Linked DNA regions of Rhinolophus ferrumequinum. The protein of the gene in region 2 interacts with the protein of the main gene of each other region in a pairwise test. Links are inferred from orthologs where the notes say so. Each region holds a gene or a part of one and is shown on either strand. Other genes may lie near its edges.

Evidence for each region.
Region 1: the proteins of GRAMD2B (region 2) and CD207 interact in binary tests that used the Homo sapiens proteins (3 or more experiments, as listed by UniProt). The two-hybrid records come from large-scale screens. The link is inferred for Rhinolophus ferrumequinum from reciprocal best matches to the Homo sapiens genes GRAMD2B and CD207.

The regions. Positions count from the first base shown.
Region 1 is NC_046296.1:20,321,703-20,332,903, reverse strand, and holds the start of CD207 (C-type lectin domain family 4 member K), read right to left. Parts: upstream 5,258-11,201; 5' UTR 5,241-5,257; coding exon 5,165-5,240; intron 5,064-5,164; coding exon 4,947-5,063; intron 3,540-4,946; coding exon 3,165-3,539; intron 2,386-3,164; coding exon 2,234-2,385; intron 1,265-2,233; coding exon 1,146-1,264; intron 674-1,145; coding exon 523-673; 3' UTR 1-522. UniProt on the Homo sapiens protein: Calcium-dependent lectin displaying mannose-binding specificity. Induces the formation of Birbeck granules (BGs); is a potent regulator of membrane superimposition and zippering.
Region 2 is NC_046290.1:87,166,321-87,177,367, reverse strand, and holds the start of GRAMD2B (GRAM domain-containing protein 2B), read right to left. Parts: upstream 5,047-11,047; 5' UTR 5,005-5,046; coding exon 4,778-5,004; intron 1-4,777.

The DNA.
Region 1 (11,201 bases), on a different chromosome or scaffold from region 2:
AGTTCAGACCTCAGAGGATGCGGATGAAGAGGATGAAGGGGACATGGCATGCACAGGGTCACTAAGAGCAGAGCTCTTCCCACTGAGAACATGGCCATCTAAGCAGGCAACTGGGAATACGGGGGCATAGACCAGAAAAGCACTGAGTATGTATCAGAATTGCTTGGGTGTCTGACGCAACTTTCATGTGATGAAATTGAGGCTTCTCTGAAGGAACGAGAAACCCCAGGGTGTTGCCCCAAATTATGAGTCCTGATCCACCTTACTGAGGCAGTTTGGACTTCTAAATCCTCTCCACCCTCCACTCCCATTTTAACCTGAGGTCTCCTTTCCATTGAAGCTACCTCTGTGGGGTCGGAGAACGCCCAGCCGAGGCAGACAGATTCCAGGATGCCTTTGCGACAATTTTGAAGCAAGCAAAATCAAGGTGCAAAGTCACCCAGGCGTATGGAGGACAGAGCAGCATTTCCTTGAGTTCATCAAGCGCTAGAGCTCAAAGTGCCAGCTTGGGAGCCAGTCCTGTCAGGGTTCTGATGGCTTATAGGGCCGTTTACAGATGAAAAGGAAACCTGTGTCACAGGGGGCATCATTCCATGACTGAAGAGAGGGCATCTTCAAATTGGTACAGTGTTCATTGTGCCCATAATTGTTGGGCTCACCTGGAATCCAGAACCTACCACAGGAAAATACAAAGAAAAACTTATTTCCAATGAAGAAATGAATGACTTCAATTCAAGCTTTGGTCCTAGGTGATAGCATCACAAGTTTTTGCACCCAGGCCTGAGAGAAAGGGAATTGGTGAGCTGTCAACCTCTAAGCCTGCAGTCACCCCCCTACCCCCAAGTTAGGGCCAAACCCGCCCACCTCTCTCAAGACCCTACACAAACCCACAGTTCTGAGATGAGACTTAGAACAGGGCCCCTGCTGAAACCAAACCCCAAAAGGCAGAGAGGCCACAGATTTGTCCCCAGTCCCACAGCCCATTAGTGGCAGAGAAGAGCTGGATTTTGGTTCAGGGCTCCTGCCATCCGTGGACAGGGAAGAATCACAAACTCTTTAGTCAGAGGAAAATATCACTCCATCCTTTGTGCCCTGGCCCTGGCCCAAAAATGTCTGGCTGGAAAGGAAAGCGCCAGATGGCTTACCTCCTACTCAGGACCTTGTCGAAGGGGGTATCATCCACCCATTTCCAGGTCCCCTCACTCCCTGCTTTGGTCAGGCCAATCCAGTGGATAAGTCCACCAGCTGTTTTGTACAGAAACTCCTGGAGGGGAGACAGAATGAACAGAGGCGCTGCCATCACTTGCCGTTGTAGCACCTGTCTGTCTGGGTCTTCACCTGTCCTCAGTGACAGCCCACAAACACACTGGGCACACTGACCTCTAAAGCCTCTTCCCGTCCCTGCCCAGAATCCCATCTTCCAATTTCTGATTTGTCTCTGCTCTGTAAAAAACAGACTCAGGGCTCAGGCCTTTCTGTCGCTCAGGAAGAAGGTGCTGGAGCACAAGAAAGATTCAGCTAAACCCCAGAGCAAGAACCCCAAGAGAATGGCCCAGATAATAATAGCTAAATTTAGTAAGTACTTAATATTTGCAACTCACTATACATTTAAATGCATTTAAATGGTTTTTTCCTCTGAAGTCTGAACTATTGTCATATGTGTTCCATCTAGGACTACTTAGAGGCAGGATTGGGACTCTAGACTCTAACACCAGAGCCCATACTCAACTGCGCTGCTAGAGCACCTCCCAGATGAAAGGCTTGTCCAATATTCTGCCTCACAAGAAGGAGACTTCTTGGGTTGTGTAATATGGTTAACGCTGTTTACAAATATTTCTGTTTTCTGGGCACACAGAAAGATTGTACCTCCCTGCCCTCTTTGAAGCTAGGAGTATTGGGTCAGTTGCTTTGCAAATGAAATGTGAGCAAAAGTGATGTTTGTTATTTCTAGGCAGAGCCAACATACAATTTTTCATGTTTCCTTTTCTTGCCTCAGCAATTATGGGAATATTCATTGAGATGAAGTCTCCTTTGGCCTAAATCCTTGAGTAAGCACAATGAGTAAAACCCCTTGTTGGCCCTTATTGCACATGTAGTGTAAGTGAGATATAACCCTTCACTGTTAGGTCACTAATATTTGGGGATTTTTGTCACCACAACATAATCTTTCCGATCCTGCCTGATACAGCTACTAATATACCCCCTTTCTAGAGCCTATAGGAACAACACTCACCTGTTCACTCTCTGAGGTCACTGAGGTCAGGTGTGAATCCCTGTATGTACAGAACTGCTCGGCACTGTACCAGGTCTTTGAGACACGAGAAAAGTAATAAAAGTTCCCCCTGAAGTACTTCCAGCCTTGAGAAACCATCTGTATAATGTCATCTGGAGAACAAGGGTGAAATGTGAACACTGGTGTTCCTCTTTTCTCTGGGTTCTGGCTAAGTGGGGGCACTGGAGTGGGATCCCACAGACAGCAGTGAACGGGGCTGGGCTCTGGGGTCCTTGGGTTCTAGTGTGGACTTGGGGACACTGTCTCAGATCCTGAAAGTCGGACTGAGATTAGTAGAGTCTCTGGTCTCAGAGAGGGGAGAGTGAGAGAGGATGGATCAAGAATCTGTCTCTCGTGGCGGCCAATTAGCTCAGTTGGTCAGAGCACAGTGCTCAGAACACCAGGGTTGCTGGTTCGATCCCCGCATGGGCCAGTGTGAGCTGCGCCCTCCACAACTAGATTGAAACAACTGCTTGACTTGGAGTTGGTGGGTCCTGGGAAAACACACCTTAAAATAAATAAAAAGTTTAAAAAAAAAAAAAGAATCTGTCTGTCATGAGAGAGAAGCAATTCTCCCCTGGCCATCACAAGTGGCTGAGCCCCTGGGCTTTAGGTAAGAAACTTAATGAAAAATGGCTCAGTTTGGGCCAGGACGACTCCTAATGCCTTCATAGTCTGTGTCTTTGTGTGGGAGCCCAAGCTTATCCCTGGTTCCCTCTCTTCTGAAAAGCCCCTGAGTCCTCCCTAACCCCAATGCTGCGCCCTCTGTGCTTGCCTTTGCAGTCACGTCTGCTTGCCTCCACAAACACCAACCCAAAGGCCTCGTGCCTGAGACTGGCAAGGCCCCGTGGGCCACTGATCAGTTTTCCATGTTCTTTTCTGAGTCACTTACTTTGCTGTTTGAGCGACTTTCTGATATTCTCCAAACTGCTCTGGAGTCCCCGGACCTTCTCATTTAAAACACTGGCTTTATCCAAATCTCTCTTTAACTCTGGGATTCGGGTGTTTAAATTATCGACATCCTCCCAACTTTTTGTTAATATCTGGATCCGTGCATTGGCTTCTTTCACACTAGTTTCCAACCTCCGGATATAAGAATGCACGCGACCCAGGCTAGCATTCACCATCTGGACCTGAACGCCAGCTGCTTCCACGCCGCCTCTGTTCCTCTTAATTTCAGAACTCAGGGAGCTGATGTTGGCCACACGAGCTTTCAGCAACTGCGCGTTGGTCTTTCCGTCTGACAGCGCGCTCATAAACCAGGGATCTGGATTTGAAAAAATCCAGAAGTCAGGCAAGGGGATCCCTCGGGACGGGAGTGGGGGTGTTACCAGGGTGATTCAAGGAAGAAGAGGGAAGGGAAGAGACAAGCTCCAGCTTCCCAAGGACGCAACCCAAGCTGCCGTTGCCTACCCTCCATTCATTTATAATCTCTTCATTCACCAAACATGCAAGGACGCCTCCCATGTGCCAGGAACCCTGGTAGAGTGGGGAACGCAAAGATCGATAAACACAGGCCCTCTGTCAGAGAACTTCACAGGCGAGCAGAAGCAGGGATTAAAACCCAGTCCAAAACTTTCTTTGAGTGTTCAGGGCACATTTGATAAAGGGATGCCCTCGACCACCCCCTTGTCACTCTCCCTACATCCTCCCGGGCCCCATCACTTGATTCTCAGCCCTCTCCTGCAGTGGCCATCAGCGTGGGCAGCACCACCCTTCCCACATCTGTCCACAGGCTCTCTGTGACCATGAGAGGAGCCAGCCATGCAGACTTCTAATCTGTTCTCTTCTAATCCAGAGAACACGCAAAGGGAGAATTATGAAACCATTTCACCTTTTTCCTTATCCCTCCCACTGTCACGTTCTGCTTGGGCCACAGGCTTAGTGACAGAGAGGAGACCAAACGTAAACCAAGACGACTCCAAGCAGAGGAGACTCTGCTGAGAGGCTCAAAGTCTGAGACCAAATATGTCCCGAGGCCATGAAGGCAGAAGACAGACGTTCCCTCCCTGTTTTCTGTAGACCTGGTGAGAGATGAAGGCTCTGCCAGCAGCAGATGCTATAAGCCTTGACAAAGCTGGAAGAAGAAGAAGAAAGATAAGTCACACATCCAATGAAGAAGTAGGAAGTCTCCCTTGACATGAGCCTCGCGGGAATAGGAGAATGTAAAGAGCATGAAGGGGTCCTGCTGAGGGGAGGAGCCATGGAGATGTATTGGCTTGGTCAGGCTCTCCATCTAGTCGGTTGGGACTGAGGATACAGTCGGGACTCCATCCCTCATGGGATCAGGAAATACCTCATTCACTGTTGGGGGCTGCCCTCAAGGTTCTGGATCAATGGGGTGCAGAGCTCAGAGAGGGAGGCAAAAATGACACAGGATGAAGAAATAGGTGAGCATTTCCTTGGGGCAGAGGAGTATATCTTTGAGCACAAGCATTCAAGTGCTGATCCCATTTAGGAAAATCTCCCCAGAATTGGGAAGGAAAGAGCAGCAGCTCATCTTCCTGAGGACAGGGACCCTGTGACTGCACGTGGAAAGAAGAGAAATGAGACCAATGAAAACGCCATAGGTGGGAGACACCACTGGAGAGCAGGAGAGTGAGGGTCTGGATTGGAGGGAGCTGACTGACCCTGGAGAAGCACCAAGCCCAGCTGATTCACACAGAGGACTTACAGAAGACGGCTTGCAGCAGGACAGAGGCGAGCAGGACCAGCGTCAGGAGAATTACAGCAGCACGGACTGTGCACATTTTCCTCAGAACCAGAGATGAACCCGTCTTGGGAGGAGGCTCTGTCAGAAGGAGAGAACATTTGTTGAAGGACCAGCAAGGGATGGGTGATGGGTTTGTGCGTGGAGCCCTGAGCGGGTTCTAAGCAGGGACTGGGGCTTACCTCGAGGCCAGAGGGAGATATTCTGTTTGTCCACAGTGAAGTGTGCGTCAGGGACCTCGCTCTCTGCAGTCTTCATCCTACACCTTCACCCTTGCAGCACAGATGCTTCTGGTTGGCTGCCCAGGGAACTTTATCTACAGGAAAAGGGAAGTGAGTCCCACAAGAGGTCGTCATGTATCCCAAAGTTCCCCATTCCTGCCTTAGACACCTTCTCTGGCCTGTGTCGTGCCACCGCTCAGTCCTCTCTTCCAAGGTCGGAGCTTTCAGGAAGAGGCCATTTGTCTTCTTCTCTGGAGGAGTCTGTTACATGGACACTTCAACCATCTTGTCCCAAGGCTATCCTACTTCTTTTATTCCCCTCATCCAGCATCCCTCCACCCATCCCTTTATCCCACAAATGCATACAGAGTGCCTTCTAGGTGCCAGATATGGCGCTAGGACTGGGCCACAAAGATAAATACTCACAGTCTTTGCACTCAAGCCGCTCACAGTCCAGAAGGAAAGACAGAGCCAAGCAAATCAATTACAATACAGGGTGATGATTATAACAATAAAAGAATACGCACAGTTCAAAAGAAGTAAAGAGAACGGAGAAAGGGTAAAAAGTTCCAGGTAGAGGGATTAGCATATTTAAAAGACAGCATGAGTGTCTGGCAATTGGAAGCAGTTTGGTGGTGTTGGAGTGTAAAGCGTGGGACAGGAGCCGAGTTCACGGAGCTAAAGAGGCACCTGGGGTCAGAGCATGAAGATCCTTTGGAATCATGTTAAGAAGCTAGAACTCTGGCTTATCGGTGACATGGAGGCAATAAAGGATTCCAGGCAGGAGAGATAAGGACAGGGACGTTGTAGAAAGATCGTTCTGATCATGGTGAGAAACATAGATCAGGGTGTGGAAAACCTGGAAGCAGGGAAACCAGTAAGGAAACCACTTATTGCCGAATATTCTACTTTCTGTTATTAGGGCATCTTAGATGATACAGTATCCCCTTTATGAAGTGGGACTTGGAGATGCGAAATTGAAGTGTAAGACTTGGGTTCGTCTCCCTGTTTCCTGTGCTTGTGAGCTTCTTAAAGTGGGGAGGCTCAGCAACATCAGACCAGGAACTGTTCTTTCATATGTGGGAGTTCCTCAGAGCAAAGAGGAGATGATTAGGGCTCAGTGATTTAGGGCTCACTAAGTTTCCTCCTGGGCCACTTCTCACGCTTTGAAGAAGTCTGCCAAATCTGAGAAGCCTCGTATGTAACAGATTCTAAACAACTATTTCTTGGAAGGTAGAAAAGAGAGAAGAGAAGAAAGGGGGAGGCGGGGCCAAAAAAGAAAAGGAAAGGAATTTAGTCCAGAGAATTGGATGGATGGATGGATGGATGGATGGATGGATGGATGGATGGAAGACTGATGACTGGATAGATGATGGATGGATGATCGATGAGTAGATGGATGGCTGGATGGATCGATCAATCGATCAGTTGATCAATGGATAGGTACATGAAAGATAAATGAAGGGAAGAATTGCTAGCTGATCATTTCTCAGTTTTGAAACCTACAATCTGTGGACTGGAATCTATCATCCAGAAGCTACTGCTTCTTCCCACTGTCTCCAAAAATTCTCATTCATTTTCATAGCAAAAGTATAAGGGAAGTGTGATTGACACCTTACCCAAAATGCAAAAAACACTTTGGCCATGGGACTGGAAAGTTAGCTTAGCCTTACTGAGACTAAGCCAGTAGAGCTGGATGGCAGAGCAGTGTCAGGGACTTGGGTTAGAAACTAAATGAGCAGGGCCAAGGAAGCAGCTACCTAGACTTTCAGGGGGCATTTAGGAGAATCCTACCTCCCTGCTTAGCCCAGCCTTGTCTGGCCAACCCACAGTTCCTACAGGTCTCTTGCTGTTCTGTTTCTGGCTGACGAGGCCTCAGAATGGAGCTGCTTCTCAGACTGGGTGACAGAACCCAGGGAGGACTCCACATCACACTTCCCAAGTGCTGGGAAAGAAGCTAGGTAACAAAGATGGTATCCCATTCATCCTATCTCATCTCCTCCCTACCCACATTCTGTCTATAGCTTCCAGAACGGCTGTCTGTTCTAACCTTTGACATTAGTTAATCATGCAAACTGAAGACCTCACTCTGACTCACCACCTATGTGAACGTTTATCACTATATGTACCTGTTTTCTTCAGGTTGCTCATCTAGTTGCAGAGCCTTGGTTCCCCTGGTTAGAACGTTCTGCTCCTGGACTCTCGTGCTTGATACCCAGTCTAACCCTAGTCATCTCAGCCCTTCTGTACCTGGCTCCTGGCCCTCTGTTCACAACTTATCATAGTCTAGGGCCTGTGAGTGGAAAAGAATCCAAGTTACTCAAGACCCCGTTGGGGTCTGGGTCTCTTCCTGAGGCATTTGAGAGAGAGAAGCTGCCACGTAACACAACTTGGGGGTATCTGGCCCCTTTCCTCTCTGTCAGAATGTTGACTTTTCCCAAACCTCTGCTGATTGGTAGCATGAGTCATTGATGGAAAACCCGCATGCCCTCTCATTGGTCCCAGAAAAGAATCCAGAAGTCTCACCATGCTGACGCCCACTGTGGAAGAGGGAGTGGGGTTGGGGAGCATTTATCCAAGTGATAGAAATAGAGGCCTCAGATAGATATTTTGCTGATTTCTGGGCAAAAGGCTGATCCAGCATGAGGAAGCTAAACATGAAGCAACCAGAAACCTGGGCTGTGGCCCTGTGGCATTTCAAAAACAGTGGGTATAAAAGTCCCAGCTATAAGGAGTTTCATTTCCCATTCATAAGGAAGGAGTGAGTCACATGCTGTCTTCCTATGGCCAGGCCCATCTGCAGCTGTTTACTGAGCACGAGCAACCCTCCCGTGCATCCCTCTGGGGGCTCTATCAGGCCCCTGACCTAACAGTCTTGGAGGAGAAAGGACAGAGCAGGAGACGAGTGCTTCAGGCACACTTGCCAGCCAGAAAAGTGAGCAGTTCTCCTGGACACGCAGGAGATGGCAGTTCTTCTAAACAGAGGAGGAACTGTGGACAAGATCAGGACTGACCAAAAACCAGTGCTGTAATGAGAAAAGGAAAGTCCGTGATCATTTTTCTGTTTCCCCACTAGTCACACTCCTGAGGTTCTAAGACCTTCTCTGGATAAGGGCAGAGGAAGGAAACAGTTTGGCCAACTTTCTCCCTTCTCTGGCTGGGACCCACCTTATGCTTAAAGGTGGGCCGTGGATATAATCAATGAGAGTGGAAAAGAGACCTACTTGTTAAGAAACTAGAATGGACAGAAAAATCAGGGAGAGGGAACTGGGAGACAGGAAGAATGACTATGAAGTGAGAAAGGAGCTATTAGAGCTGGTCAGGCTGGCCACAGGCCTCGGAGAGAATACAATGTGACGGGAGATTTGACCAGCAGACCCCAGATAATCGAAAGATTTCTTCCCACCCTATGGATGTGTGCTTTGGGGATAGAGGATAAGGCAGAGACACCCACAAAGGAGTGGTGGGTGGGACAACTCATTTCCCTTCCCCGAGAATGCCTGCTCTGCCCCAGGCACAAGGAGAAAGTCCGATAGACCCTGCCTGCGGAAACAGCATTCCTCTTATTGGAAAAAAAATGCTTATTTTTTTTAATTCTAGGGAGAAGGGAAGAATCTCCCAAGACTGAAAAGGAGCACAGAGACCGCAGGGAGCCTCCCCAGGTCTCCCTTGAACCTAAGAATGAGTTCCTCTTTTTTAGAACATCATGGGTAAGCAGGTTCCTCTGGAACAGTGACAATGGGTCAGAATAAGCCCTTACGTCTGGTGCCATCAGTTAAGTATTATGGTATGGATATGGTGGGCAATCTGGCTGCATGGAAGGGTCGCTGAATTTCAGGTAAAGGGAGCGGCTCTGAACTATGCAAGTCAAAGAGAGCTTGCCTGTGGTCTTAGTGAGAAAGGCAAATGCGTGTCAGAAAAGTAACAAAGGGCTCTTGGAAAAGGTATGCGTAGTTCTTTTTAAATCTTTTATTTCTTTATTATGTAAATAATGATATTCGCAGAGAAAAAAATCCAGATAAGCAAAAAGAAAAAATTACCTACTGTAACAAAAAAAAGCTATATACCAGTTCATTCTTCCTATCTCTGGGTACATATATCTCTACATCTATATCCATAGCTGTATCTAACTATAACTGTGTATATTTATATAAGTATCAAATGGGATAGCTCCTATTTATTTTCCCCATCATCCTTCCCATCCCCATTTCTGATACCAAAAATCCCCTTCTTTTAAGAAATTGTTCCCCCTTTTAAATCCCACCACTTCTTGGCTCACAGCCAACATCAGCCGTTGGAGTTCTTAACCACACCCCATCACTGACACTTAGTCTTCTGCCTCCGGCTTCCACTTTCAGGACTCTTACATTGGGCCCCACCAGATAATCCAGGATCATTTCCCTATCTTAAAATCAGCTAGTTAGCAACCTTCTTTACACTTTGCTATAGAACTTAATATACTTCCAGGTTCCGGGGATGAGGATGTGATATCTTCACAGTCATTACTCTGCCTACCACACTTCTTCACCATATTAAGTTCGGGTGGCCTTAATGGAACGATTCAGAAAGTTTGGTATATGTCCCTGGAGTTAGAGATATCAAGTCTGGTACTTGACACGTGAATGAAAAGTCTAAGGGCTTCAGTAGGTGAATGGATAAATAAACTGTGGTACATCAGGCAATAGAATATTGTTCAGCGCTAAAAAAAAAAATGAGCCATCAAGCCATGAAGAGACACGGAGGAACTTAAATGCATATTACTAAGTGAAAGAAACCATCCTGAAAAGGTTACATAATGTATGGCTCCAATTATACGATATTCTGGAAAAGGCAAAACTATGGACACACTAAAAAGATGCTTGGTTGCCAGATGTTATAGGGGAGGGAGGGATGAAAAGGTAGAGCACGGAGGAATGTTAGGGCAGTGAAACTATTCTGTATGATACCAATGATGGATACATGTCATTTTACATGTGTCCAAACCCATAGAATGTGTAACACCAATAGTGAACCCTAACGTAAGCTATGGACTTTGGCGGATGTGATGTGTCAATGTAGTTTCATCAGTTTTAACAAATGCACCCCTCTGGTGAGGATGCTGGTACTAGAGGAGGCTGAGGGCTCGGTCAGGGAGTATATGAGAACTCTTGGTACTTTCTGCTCAATTTTGCTGTGAACCTAAAGCTGTTCTAAAAAATAGTCTATTTAAAAGGAGGGGCTGTGAAATCTAAGGCAAGACACTTTCGCTCGCTACTGCCTTGGGGCAGCAGGATGGGGAAGAAAGGCAAAATTCAAAGGCAAAAATCTGCTCTTTCAGAGTTTGGTGGGGAAAAAGATGTTTGTCAATGGACCAGACTTGGGGTCCCCCTGGCAGGAAGCTATTCGTAATTGATTAAGAGGGGCTGTATCGATAAGGACCACCTGGAGGAGTGTGCAGTGAGACCACAGGAAAGCAGGGGCTGAGGTAAGCCCATAAGCAGACAGCCAGAGGAGGCATTGTCTGTGCCAAGAGAATGGCCAGTGAGAGATCCACACAATGCAGGTCTCCTAACAACCCCCAAAACACACCTAAAAAAATGAACTGGCATTTAGAACATGTTCCACCTTGACATCATGAAAACCAGATTTCAACTCTTCCAAGCAAAGAACTCCTTTCTGCCACCTGGAGCGAGGTACAGTTTGGTGTGGGGGAGGGTAGAAGTAAGGAGGAGAGCAGGGAGAAAAATGTGACAAAAAATCAGACCCTCCCTCCACCATCTCATACTTCCAAGACTGAGGCTGGGCAAGGGGAGAAATGCTAATTCAATGAAAGTCTGCACTTTTGTGATTATTTTGACTGGATTTTGGGGGAATAACAATGTGATCAGAAAAGCTGTAATACCTGCCTGAGGTTCCATCCAGGTGTAAGGAAGAACAAAAAAGGAAAGCAGGCTTGAAGGGGAAATGATGCGAAATCACACAGATGCTTGCTAACCAGTGTAGCTCATTCAGTAAACCA
Region 2 (11,047 bases):
CATTTCTGCTCCTGGAGAAGGAAGCCCATATCCCAGAATTCAGCCTCCCTCCAGCTTCTAAATAGTATCTGTACAACTCCCGTGAACAGGCGCCGAGGCGGTGGGCTTCCTTTTGAAACGGGCCGTGACACGACAACGACTGTGTGGTTGGTCTCCAGGTACCAAATAACGCTCCCGTCCTTTCCCTGATAGTAGGAGAAACGGGTTTGGAGAGCCGAAGGGGAAAGAGCAGACATTTCCTCTTTCACTCCCTGGTGGCAAGTGGAAGAGGAGAGGAGCAGAAGCACTCGTTGGAGCCACTAAGTGGGGACAGAAGTGTGACTGCAGGCTGCAAGGTCACTGTTGACTAACGCCTGGAGTGGTTCCCAAATCACAGCACAGGAGCCGGAGCAGGTCTGGGCTGGTCCCAGCCGGGCCCCGTATTCTAGCTCACGGCTGCTTTATCTTTGACTTCTTTGGTCGCTCTCTTGGATCTTCCATGTGTCCCCAAAGCCCATAGCTCTCCATTCGTTACATTAGCGTCATTGGGCGACTTTCACCTGTGCCTAAAATCGAAATAGACTTCTACTCTACGAAAAATATTTTTTTTTTTTGGAAAACAAATTTATTAAAAACAATAGATCTAATGGCTAATTTGTGTAATAATTCTCCCAAAGCTAATTAGGTAATTCAATAGAAATTCCTGATTTTTGATTGCTGAATGACTAATTTATGGAACTATTAAGTCACCATAGCATTTTCCAGTCTGCATATAAAGCGTACAGAAATTCATGTTTTCCAAGACTACCCAATGTTTTTCTGTATTTTTTGGGAAATGATGATTTCTTGTGAATTTTGAATGTTGAGGTGCTGTGCTAATATGAATATCAGAGATTTTCAAATTTGGATCATCTCAGAGGAGGCTAGAAAAGTACTCAATAGTTCCAACAACCTCTTTTAAATCCTCAGTGAAAAGGGAACTCTTTTAACCTGAGAAAAGCTGATAAAATCTGAAATGTTAAAAGGATTTCCTTAAAAATCGGGAACAAAACAAGAGTGCCTACTTATACGCCACATTATAATGGAGTTGCTTGCTTGTGTCATGACATAAAAAGATTTAAAAGGAGTAAAGATCAGAAAGGTAAACCCAAAATTTTTATTATTTCAAATAATATTATTGCCTACAAAGAAAACCTTGTAGAGTCTACAGATTGATTATTAAAATTTATGAGAAGATTTAGCAAGAATTTTGAATGTAAGGTAAATTTAGAATTTTAATTACATTTCTGTATAACGTCAACAAAAGAAAATGCAATTAAAAATATATTTCTAATAGCAACAAAAGTGTGAAGTACCTACGAATAAATCTAAAGAATGATTTATGTATAATATTCTAAAACTTTATCAAAGTCATATTAAAGAAGACCTAAAAAAAATTCATGCCATGTGCATGAATAGGTATGTTTAACACCATAAAATGTCAAATTTCCTCAAATTGAGCAATAGATTCAGTGCAATTTCAATCACAAAAAATCTTTATTCCATCAGCTGATTCTAAAATTTAAATGGAAGAGCAAAGGGGCAAGAGTAGCCAATCATTTCTGAACTAGGGATGGAGTCTTGTCATATCTGATAACAAAATTTTTATTATGAAGCAATAGTCATGAAGATAGTGATATATGACAGAGCTAGCATTGCGGATTAATGGGGAAAGGGAAGACTATTCAAAAAATAATGTGAGACAATTTATTATCCATATAAAAATTAAAATGATGCCCTATTTCACACCAGAAACAAAAATAAATTCCAAATCCTTTATAGGATCCTACTTTGAAAGGAAAACATACTGTTAGAAAAAAATACGCAAGTACATTCTTATGACCTCAGAATAGGAAAGGATTTCTTAAACAAGTCCCAGAAAATACAAGTCATTAATAAAATAATTAATACATTGACAAAGTAAAAATAAGAACTTGGACATGAGAGAGAATGTGAACAGTCATATGCAGGGATAAATATTTGCAGCACATATAACTGACAAAAGATCAGTATCTGGAGTATTTTAAAAACTACCTAAAAATAAGGAAAAGATAGTAATCCCTGTCCCCCCTCTCTTGTCCCAAAAGGTCATAAGTCCATCAGCAAGTATTTTGCAGAAGAGGAAACGAAAATGACCAATAAACATGTTGGAAAGATGCTCCTCCTGTATTAATAAGGGAAATGCATATTGAAACCACATCGAGATGCCCTTTCACACCTTCCAGACTAGAAAAGTTAAAAAGTTAGAGAAAGCCCTTGTTGCTGAGGCAGTGGGACTACTGCCGTCAGTAGCATAAATGGCACAGCACTTTGGAACCTAATTTGACATAGTGAGTAAAGTACGTCATGTCCGTAATCTATGACCTAGCATTTCCTCTCTTAGGTACGTACCTTAGAGACATGGGCAAGACATAGCATTGCTCGAATAAATAAAAACTAGAAATAACCCAGAGGGCAGCCGGAATACCCGTCTAAAATGAACATCATATCATGATACTCCCTTATTCTAAATCCCCCGGTGGCTTCACATTGCAATTAGAATAGAATTCTAAACGCCTTCAACCTTGGCTTATCTTTCCGGTTTCATTGGGTGCCGCTCTCCCCAAGTTTCTTAAGACACAAGATCTTCCCCATCTTAGGGCAACATACTCCTTCCAATCATTCCATGATTGGCTCTTTTTTCATCCTCTAAATTGGCCTAAATATCACTTCCTTAGAGAGTCTTTCATTTGCCACCCCATCTAAATTAGTTCCCCCATCTCATTCTCCTTCTCAGCCCTATTTCCTATAATAACATACATTAATATCTGAATTATGTATGCATGTCTGCATGGATTCATAATTCCTTTTGCCTGTCTTTTACATTAAACTGATAGCCTTCAGGTGGGCAGGGACTAGGTCTAACTTGTTCATGACTGGATCCCCTGTGCCTTCCACATAGCCTGGCATGTAATAGTTTGTCGATAAATCTTTGTTGAATTGAATAATTGAATAAAAGCACTGCATAAATTGTATCTGTGCCTACTTGAAGTAGTTTGTTGATCTGAGAGTACATTTTACTAGCTGTAGTTCATGGAAAGGATAATGGGATACCACAACAGCCACATAATTCTTAATATTTATTTAGAAGGTAAAGGGAAGTGTTTACCTGGTCTTATTTTTGACCTCAAATAATTAACCAACACATACCTAAATGCTTCTACAAACTATTTTCAATGATTTTATGTGCAATAGATTAAACTGATCTTTCAACTAGACTAAAAGTCCTCCAATGTCCAAACCGTTTGGTGATATGAAGTGTTTGTAGGTTGGTTGTAAAACAAATTTTAAAAAAAGAAACAGATATTAATATAGAGATTTGATGTTAAATATTTAAATATGCTGGTGAAACAGGCCTGGGATCTTTTTGAAAGAGGCTTGAATTTAGGTTGATTTAGGTTTTTATTTTATTTTTATTCTATTTATTTATACTTGCTTAAATAATATGTATTATGTTATTTAAATTGTACTTTGTGCAATTAATTAATTAATTAATGCATTTTAATTTAATTTAATTTTTTCTTATTAGAGCTTGAACTCCAAGAGAAGTTTACATTATACTCTACAAAAGAGATGTTCAACGCAGACAAAGTAATTCAAGAAATACTCAAAGTTCAGCAAAATATGGAAATAATGCAAGAGTTTTACATTTTTCGATCACAGAAATTGTATTCTTGCTCAAACAGTCATAGTGCAAGTTAAGGAAATTCATTTTAATGAAGGATGGAAAAACCAAAACTATCTTTCAATGTATTAAGCAACGGTCTCTAAAACGTTAAAAACTTATTTAATTTGTACTCATAACCTGACATTCTGATGTGTGCCTGCTATGACATGAAATGGGATTTCTTTGCTTTCTATTTAATTTGTAAAAGCTCTAATTTTGAGCACTCTTTTTTGTGTAAAGGGTTTAAAATGATTAAAAAGTAAAACAAATGATTAACTTCCTGGCGATGGTGCTATAAAAGTAAACTTCAGGTGTAGAGGCCATTCCTCTATCTTCCCTTGAGACGTTTCCATGAAACGTACATTACAGTTCACATCAAAGTCGATGAGAAACTTTTTCTTGTAATTGATTTCCACTTGCACTTTGTTTCTACCTTTTGTAAGTTGCCAGGTAATTATTATGAGACGAAATCAAAAGAGTTGGTAAATGAATTTTCATTAAAATATGTACTTATCCAAGCAGTATTGATGTAGATAGGAATATTTACAGCTAAAAAGGATACGTTCTCAATCTGGGCAGTGCTGCTGTAAATCACTGTACAGTAAATCATTGAACTAGGATTATTTAAATATTTAATTTAGAAAGCCAAAAAGAGTGCTATCGTTTTAATATTTTAATAATTACTACTTTAATAATAATACAGGTAATGTTGACGCCAAAGGACTGTTTTTGGTTCAGTTACGGCTTCGCTTCCTATCCACCTGAGAGTGAGTTAGGAATTGAGCAACTGTATGGCTGGCCACTTACTCAGTACTGAAAAACCCTAAAGAAAGCACTAACAATTATTTTCCCTTAATGGTGTTAAAGTTCTGTTTGCTCAGCAGATCACATCCCTTGCAATGTACTGTCTTCAAAACCACTGGCCCGGATGCCTAGGCTGTACCTTCTCTTTCCTCTTGGCACATTGCTACCTCAGGGAGTGAGGAAGGAGCTCTTTAAGGGCTACCTGTCAGGTAGCAGAAGCCATGAGGGAGACAGACGGGATGTACCCACCTGAGAAAGACTGAGCCGGGGCTGTCGGTGGAGCTGTGCTGGGCCTCCGTGTGGGCCTTCCGGGGGCTGCCTGGAGTCTCAAACCGGAACACCGTGTCACTGGAAGGCAGCCTTTTCTTCACCATTGTGCACTTGTCGATCGCCAACTCAAGAACTAAGCTCAAAGGCTCATTTCTGAATTTCCCCAATGTGAAAATCTGCGTTCTGGCTTTGCTCAGTTCTCGCATTGCAGGAAGCTCTAGCTCTTTCTTCACATGACTGCTAAAGTAGCTGAGGCTATTTTTTTTTTCTTTTTTTTTTTTTTTTTGCTGTTAGTTAATGAGTAACATGTAAGTATGACACAGGGCAGTTTTCATCCTTCCCACATTTACTCTAAAAGAAAAATAAATGTGTTAGGGAAACTCAGCTTTCAGTTTACTAATACAACCCTGCGGATGTGGGCAGAAAAGTCTATGAAAAAGTAAAGACTTAAAACAATGAGGTGCAGAGTCTGGCAGTCCCTAAATATTAAAAGCAGAGATACGTTTTCTCATCCCCTGGGCCTGACCACCAGGGTGAAAACTGTGCATGTGCTTTATGCCTTTGTACATACAGGAAATAACCAGCCCACCTGTATGTCACGTTTGGCAAGACGCAGAGGAGCTTTAAGGCTGTGATGCTTAGTTGTTGGGACCAAGAGTTTTGGAGTTCTTATGGAAGTAATCTGTACAACGTCAAGGGAACCTGAATGTTGTGTATTTTGCTGCATTACAGGAGGCTGTGACCTGTGTCAAAACAACAACCACAACTAAGGCAAACAAATGAAAAACACCAGGAGGCGAGGGCTCCAGCCCTTGCTTGCTGGTTGGGTAACCATGGGTGATCCCAACCCTGCTGAGTTTGGTATCTGCCATGCCTTCTCACAGGATTAGAATTAGGATGAAATCATATACCAGACTATGCTGTGGAAATTTGCAAATATGCTATACATTATTGTTATTATTTAGAACCCATGTCAGCAGGAAGTTCAGAAAGGGAATTTCTGTGTGTGTTGTTCTTCGACCGCTTCATTTTCATGCGCAAGGAAAACAGGGTCCCTCTAATGTTACTCGCAGCAGTGAAACATTTGGCCCACAGGAGCTGTGCTCTCTCTCTCCTTGTTCCCCTTTTGTTTAGTCAGTGACATTGGAGAACGGCTGGCTGAAGTGAAGTACACAGATTCTGATTGTGGAAGAGAGCAAAGTTTCCTAGGAAATCAAACCTTTAGCCTTGGCCTGTTTAGCCCTTTGCTCTAGTCAGCTGATAACCAGCTCGAGACAGGTTTGTGCTGCTCTGGTGTGCAGTGTACTCGAAGCACCCTTTTGAAATTAGACAAAGTATGTCTTTCGGTGGGATTTTACTGGTGCCTGACAGGGTGACCAACTTTCCCCAGTTTGTCCGGGATTTTCCTGGTTTTAGCACTGAATACTCTGCATCCTAGGAACCCCTCAGTACTGGGCAAACCGTGACAGGTGGTCACCCTGGTTCCCAGTGCTCTCTTGCTACAATTCCGATGGTGCACCACTCCTCGCTTCCTTCCTTCTCCTTCCTTGATAGTGCAATATCTGTACTTCTCTTCTCCCCCTAATTTCTATGTTGCAGTTATGTTGGAATGACATTAAATAAGTTATAATAAAGTGTTGGATTAAACAAACTCATCACTGTACCTCATATAAATGTAACAACTTGCAAGGCAGTTCCTGCTCCTTGTAAACAAAAATGTCTAATCAGTACAGTTATTCCTAATTAATGAAACATAATATGTTACTATCTCACAGGAAGGTTTGGATTTTAACTGGGGGCAATGCTTAACTTAGAACCAAATGTCTGTAAAGGAGGAAATTCCAATGTCAGCAGCCAGTCGCTGGACATATTCTTCAATAGAGAAACTTTCTTAGTATTCAGTCAACAATATTTTGTTAGCAAGGTTCCATGCTAGCTACGGTGAGTGATACAAAGAAAAATTTAAGAAATGGGTCGTTCGTCCAATACTGCAGTTAGAAAGAGACAGTATGCACAATTGTAAAGTTAACTGACAACAAAAGAGGGAGAAATGCAGTATTTCTTGAGTCTCTGTATAACTAATGTCTTTTGAGTGTATGTAGTATCTCTGCTAGATAATTTCATAATAACATCTCATTTAGTTCTTGTCAAAAACCACATTTTTACAGATGATGAAGCTCTGTCTAAAAAGATTAAGCAAGTTGTCCATAATTAAGTGGTCATAAGACTGTGGTCATGCTAGAATTCATCATTCATTCATTCATTTATTCAACAAATGTTTATTGAACATTTACATTTAAAAGGAGGCAAGATTATTTGAGACTGGGTTGATTTAGAAAAGTCTCATGGAAAAGGTGGAGTTTGAGTGGAGCTCTGGGAGGGCAGAAAGGGAAGGGAGTGGGGCTCAGGAGCAAATAAATAGGCATGGTCAGGTGTGTGCATTGAGTGGAGAGCTTGTGTTGGGAGGTCGGGGGAGAGCTTTGATCATTTAGATGGAGGCTGAGTTATGAAGCACCCTGAATGCCAGTGGGAAGTTCAAGCTTTACCTTGTAGGTAATGGGAATAAAATGATGAAAGATGAGTTTGATGGCCATGCGGACGATACTTTGGAAGCAGAAGGAGATGAGTTGGCTCATTACGGCAGTGATCTGGTGATATGGTTATTTCATTTAGGCAGCCACTACCATCTATGGGAAGCAGCTCAGAAATAGTTGAAAGAGTATTGACTCAACTCTTATGTAAGATGTTGTGTTAATTCCGATCATAAAAAAATTATGTTAAAGATGAGATTGATGAAAATCTAGAGCAGAGGTCACAAACACAAATGCCTTCCAAGAGTTAGAAAGATAAATAAAACCACAAGATGGGGAGAGAAAGCAGCAGAGAGTGGTAGAAAAGTGCAGTGCTCATGCCCTCCCTAGGGGTATTCAAGTTTTAAACTACAGAGGCCGGTGGGAGGCACAACCTCAAGCTGTCTGAGCGCTGGATTCAGCTTTGGCTGGCCACCTGAATTTCACTTCTTGATAGGATCTGCCTATACTAGATCTTTCAAGATATGCTAGTAGTTATGTTTGGACTTTATGTTCAAAGAGGAATAAGGTTCTGATGGCACATGACCACTGGAAGCAAATGTGAATTTTATCTATTTTTAAGATAATGGCCGTTGACTGCGGTGCAGCAGTCTACATCAGCAAGCGCAGAGCTGCCACTGTTTGACCCCCTCCACTGTTTAGACATGGCCTCTGCTCAAGGCATTTCTGGCCTTTGCCACAACTTTCATTTTCATGGGTAAAAATGGAAACAAAGACCAGGCGATCAAAGGTGAACAACTGGAGTCGGACATATATTTATGTAAATATAAGAGGAGCATACCCACTGTCAAAAAAATGAATACTCTATGATGACAACTAAAATACAACTAAACTAAAGGTAGCAGAGACCTTTTATATCCTTCCACAGAAACGGAGATGAAAAGACAAAACCAAACAAGACAAAAACTGACAACTAGCAGGCAATTTTAAATAAGACCATCCATGATGGAAATATCTCATTTTTCAAATGCTCTCCAATAGGTCACAATATTATATCTTTATAAATAGAGATTGTAGAGTCTGACATAGAAAAAAGAATAACAAGTCTGGGTTCCCTCACTTGGTAAGTTCAGTTGGCACCTCTAGACATTTTTCCTCTTCTACCAACTGAAGAGATACGAGGCTGGATTTGGCCTGCTGACATGTCCTGTTTGGCCTTTGCCATATTTTATAAGTAGAAATTTCTTAAACATTTTATATAAAACATGATCATCTGACCTTGCCTAGAAATCAGATCTGGCAAGAGTATGGCAATAGTTCGCTAGTACTGAGTAATGTCTCCACGGGACGTGGCTGAACTCTGTCATTTGCCTCAGTCTGCCTGCTTTGTTTCGCTTGTTCTCATTCCCTGCATTTGACTTTCAAACCCCTGACACCTGGGGGATGTTGACAGTTTTCTCAAGCTTTAATTTTCTTTCCTTAAAGACCGCTCATTGAAGTTTTACTGTATGATGTTTTTCTTCTTCAGTGAAACAAGGTCCACAGATAGTTGCAAGACACGTGCAATGATGATAATCTTTGGTTATTATATCTAATCATTCTGAAGTCCACAAATAAGGACCTCATATGCCTACTGATGCCAGCTAGCTTCGATAAGAGGTGGGGAATTCATGCTGGGAGAGTCTCCTCCTTTTCCTGGAAGTGTGGGGATTTGATGTTGAGGCACAAAACCAAACTGAAAACACCAAATAAATAGCGCTTCAAAACCAAGCTTTTCCGAGGCATGGAATATAACCTTCCATTTATAAATAGACTAGATTTCCTCTACAGTTAGGTAACATTATAAATATTTATGCTCTAAGATTTGTCTGCTAGATTCTGCTGTGTTCAGGCTAGTATTACCAAAAATTAGCTTGTATCCTCTAAATGCCTACTACCTGCCATTTCAGCAAAGAAGCGTGCAGTCTGCTGAAGTTACCTGGAGATTCAGACCTCATCATAGGAGAGCCATATGTGGAAAACCAGGGTCTGGGTGTAATGGGAATGTATCTACATTCTTGGAGGGGGCTGTGTGGTGTCGTGGTGTAGAGTGTGGGCATGGGGTCAGGCTGCCTGGAGATGGAGGGTCGTTTCCTAATTTCCTTGCTTGTGTTACATTGGAAAGGTACCTAATCTTCCCAAGCCTCTGAAAAAATGCTAATGATAATAGTGTCTACCTCCAAAGGCCATTGTGAGGACTTGATGATAACGTAAAGTTCAATCATAAAACCTACACATATTAAGCTTCAGAAAATACCATTGATGACGAGGAAGAAACTTATGATGTGAGTCGGGTATATTTTCACTAAAGTGGAATGGAATCTTATAATTGAAAGATAGTTTCCTTTCTGAATGTGCCATTTGCATGTGGCTTGTGGGAGACCTAATCTGAAAGGGACCCAAGTGTAACAATTTGGGTGGATGGAATGTTGACATTGGTGTTAATGGCCCCGCCAAGCAGCCTGGAATATTCCAGTCTAACTAATGGACTAGATCATATCTAAAGTCCTTTCCTCTTGCCGCAAGCTCCTTTAATTCTGTGATTTCTATGACAAAGATTAGAGAGGAGGCGAATTCTTCCCCTAAAGTTGTGAGTCTTTCTCTGGCAGGACACAGAGAGACCACTGTGTTGTCCTTGACAGAAAACTAGTACTAATTGGAGCAGCTGGTGACTTGAGAAGACGTCCTGCCTCCGGAAAGATTCAGAAGTTGATCTTGCAGTTTCAGTGAAGAAGGCAATATCAGACTTAAGGCAATCTTTTTTTGTGATATAATGGAAAGAAATTTGAAGTTCTTATTCTAGTCCTGCTATTCACTTTTCACTGTGCTCAATGACATTTGCTTCAATTTATAAAATGAGTTGAGGGAGTTGATTTTAAACATTCTGTTAGTGTAAATTTCTGTCCATTGATAGATATATGTATTATTTAAACAGTGGTGTGCTCTTAAACTGGTTTTCTGGGGGCAGCGGGGGAGTTCTGATTTGTAACATTTGCCAGTTTCCAGAGTGTAGATATTCCCACCATGGCTGATTTTCAGCTACCAATGTGACGCCACTGAACATAGCTTTGGGAAGAGACGCTAGTAACTAGCTCTTTTGAGCCAGTATGACCTACGACCTGATTCCCTCACACCACTATCAACATTTAAACACCCAACTTCAGTGTTTGGTAAAACATGAATTTGGCCCCGGAGTTACCAGATTTAAATAACTGTGTTCTTTAATTTAAATAGCATTATAATCTGACATATTGCATAGTAGTTATTGTATCATCTGCCTTTGTTTGATTTTATGCAAATTGGTAATAATATGAATACCATATGATTTTAATGTATCCATAGGGATTTTTTCTTTGTATGTTTTAATTATGGTAAAATATACATAACAAAATTCATCATCTTAATTGTTTTAAAGGCACAGTTTAGTGGCATTAACTACATGCCTCATATTGTGCCCTAAGGTTTTAAAAAATATACTTTTTTGGTTGTAAAACAAAATACAAAGAAGAAAATTACAACATCATCTATAATTCTCAGCCCCCAGAGGTAATCACAATGCATATTTTAGCATTATCAAAATTGTGTTTTACTCTTAAGGACTGTCAAAATAGTTCAGTACTCCTGGAAATATAGCTTACGTTTACTAAACGGATTTTTATTATTTTCAAGGGGCCTTACC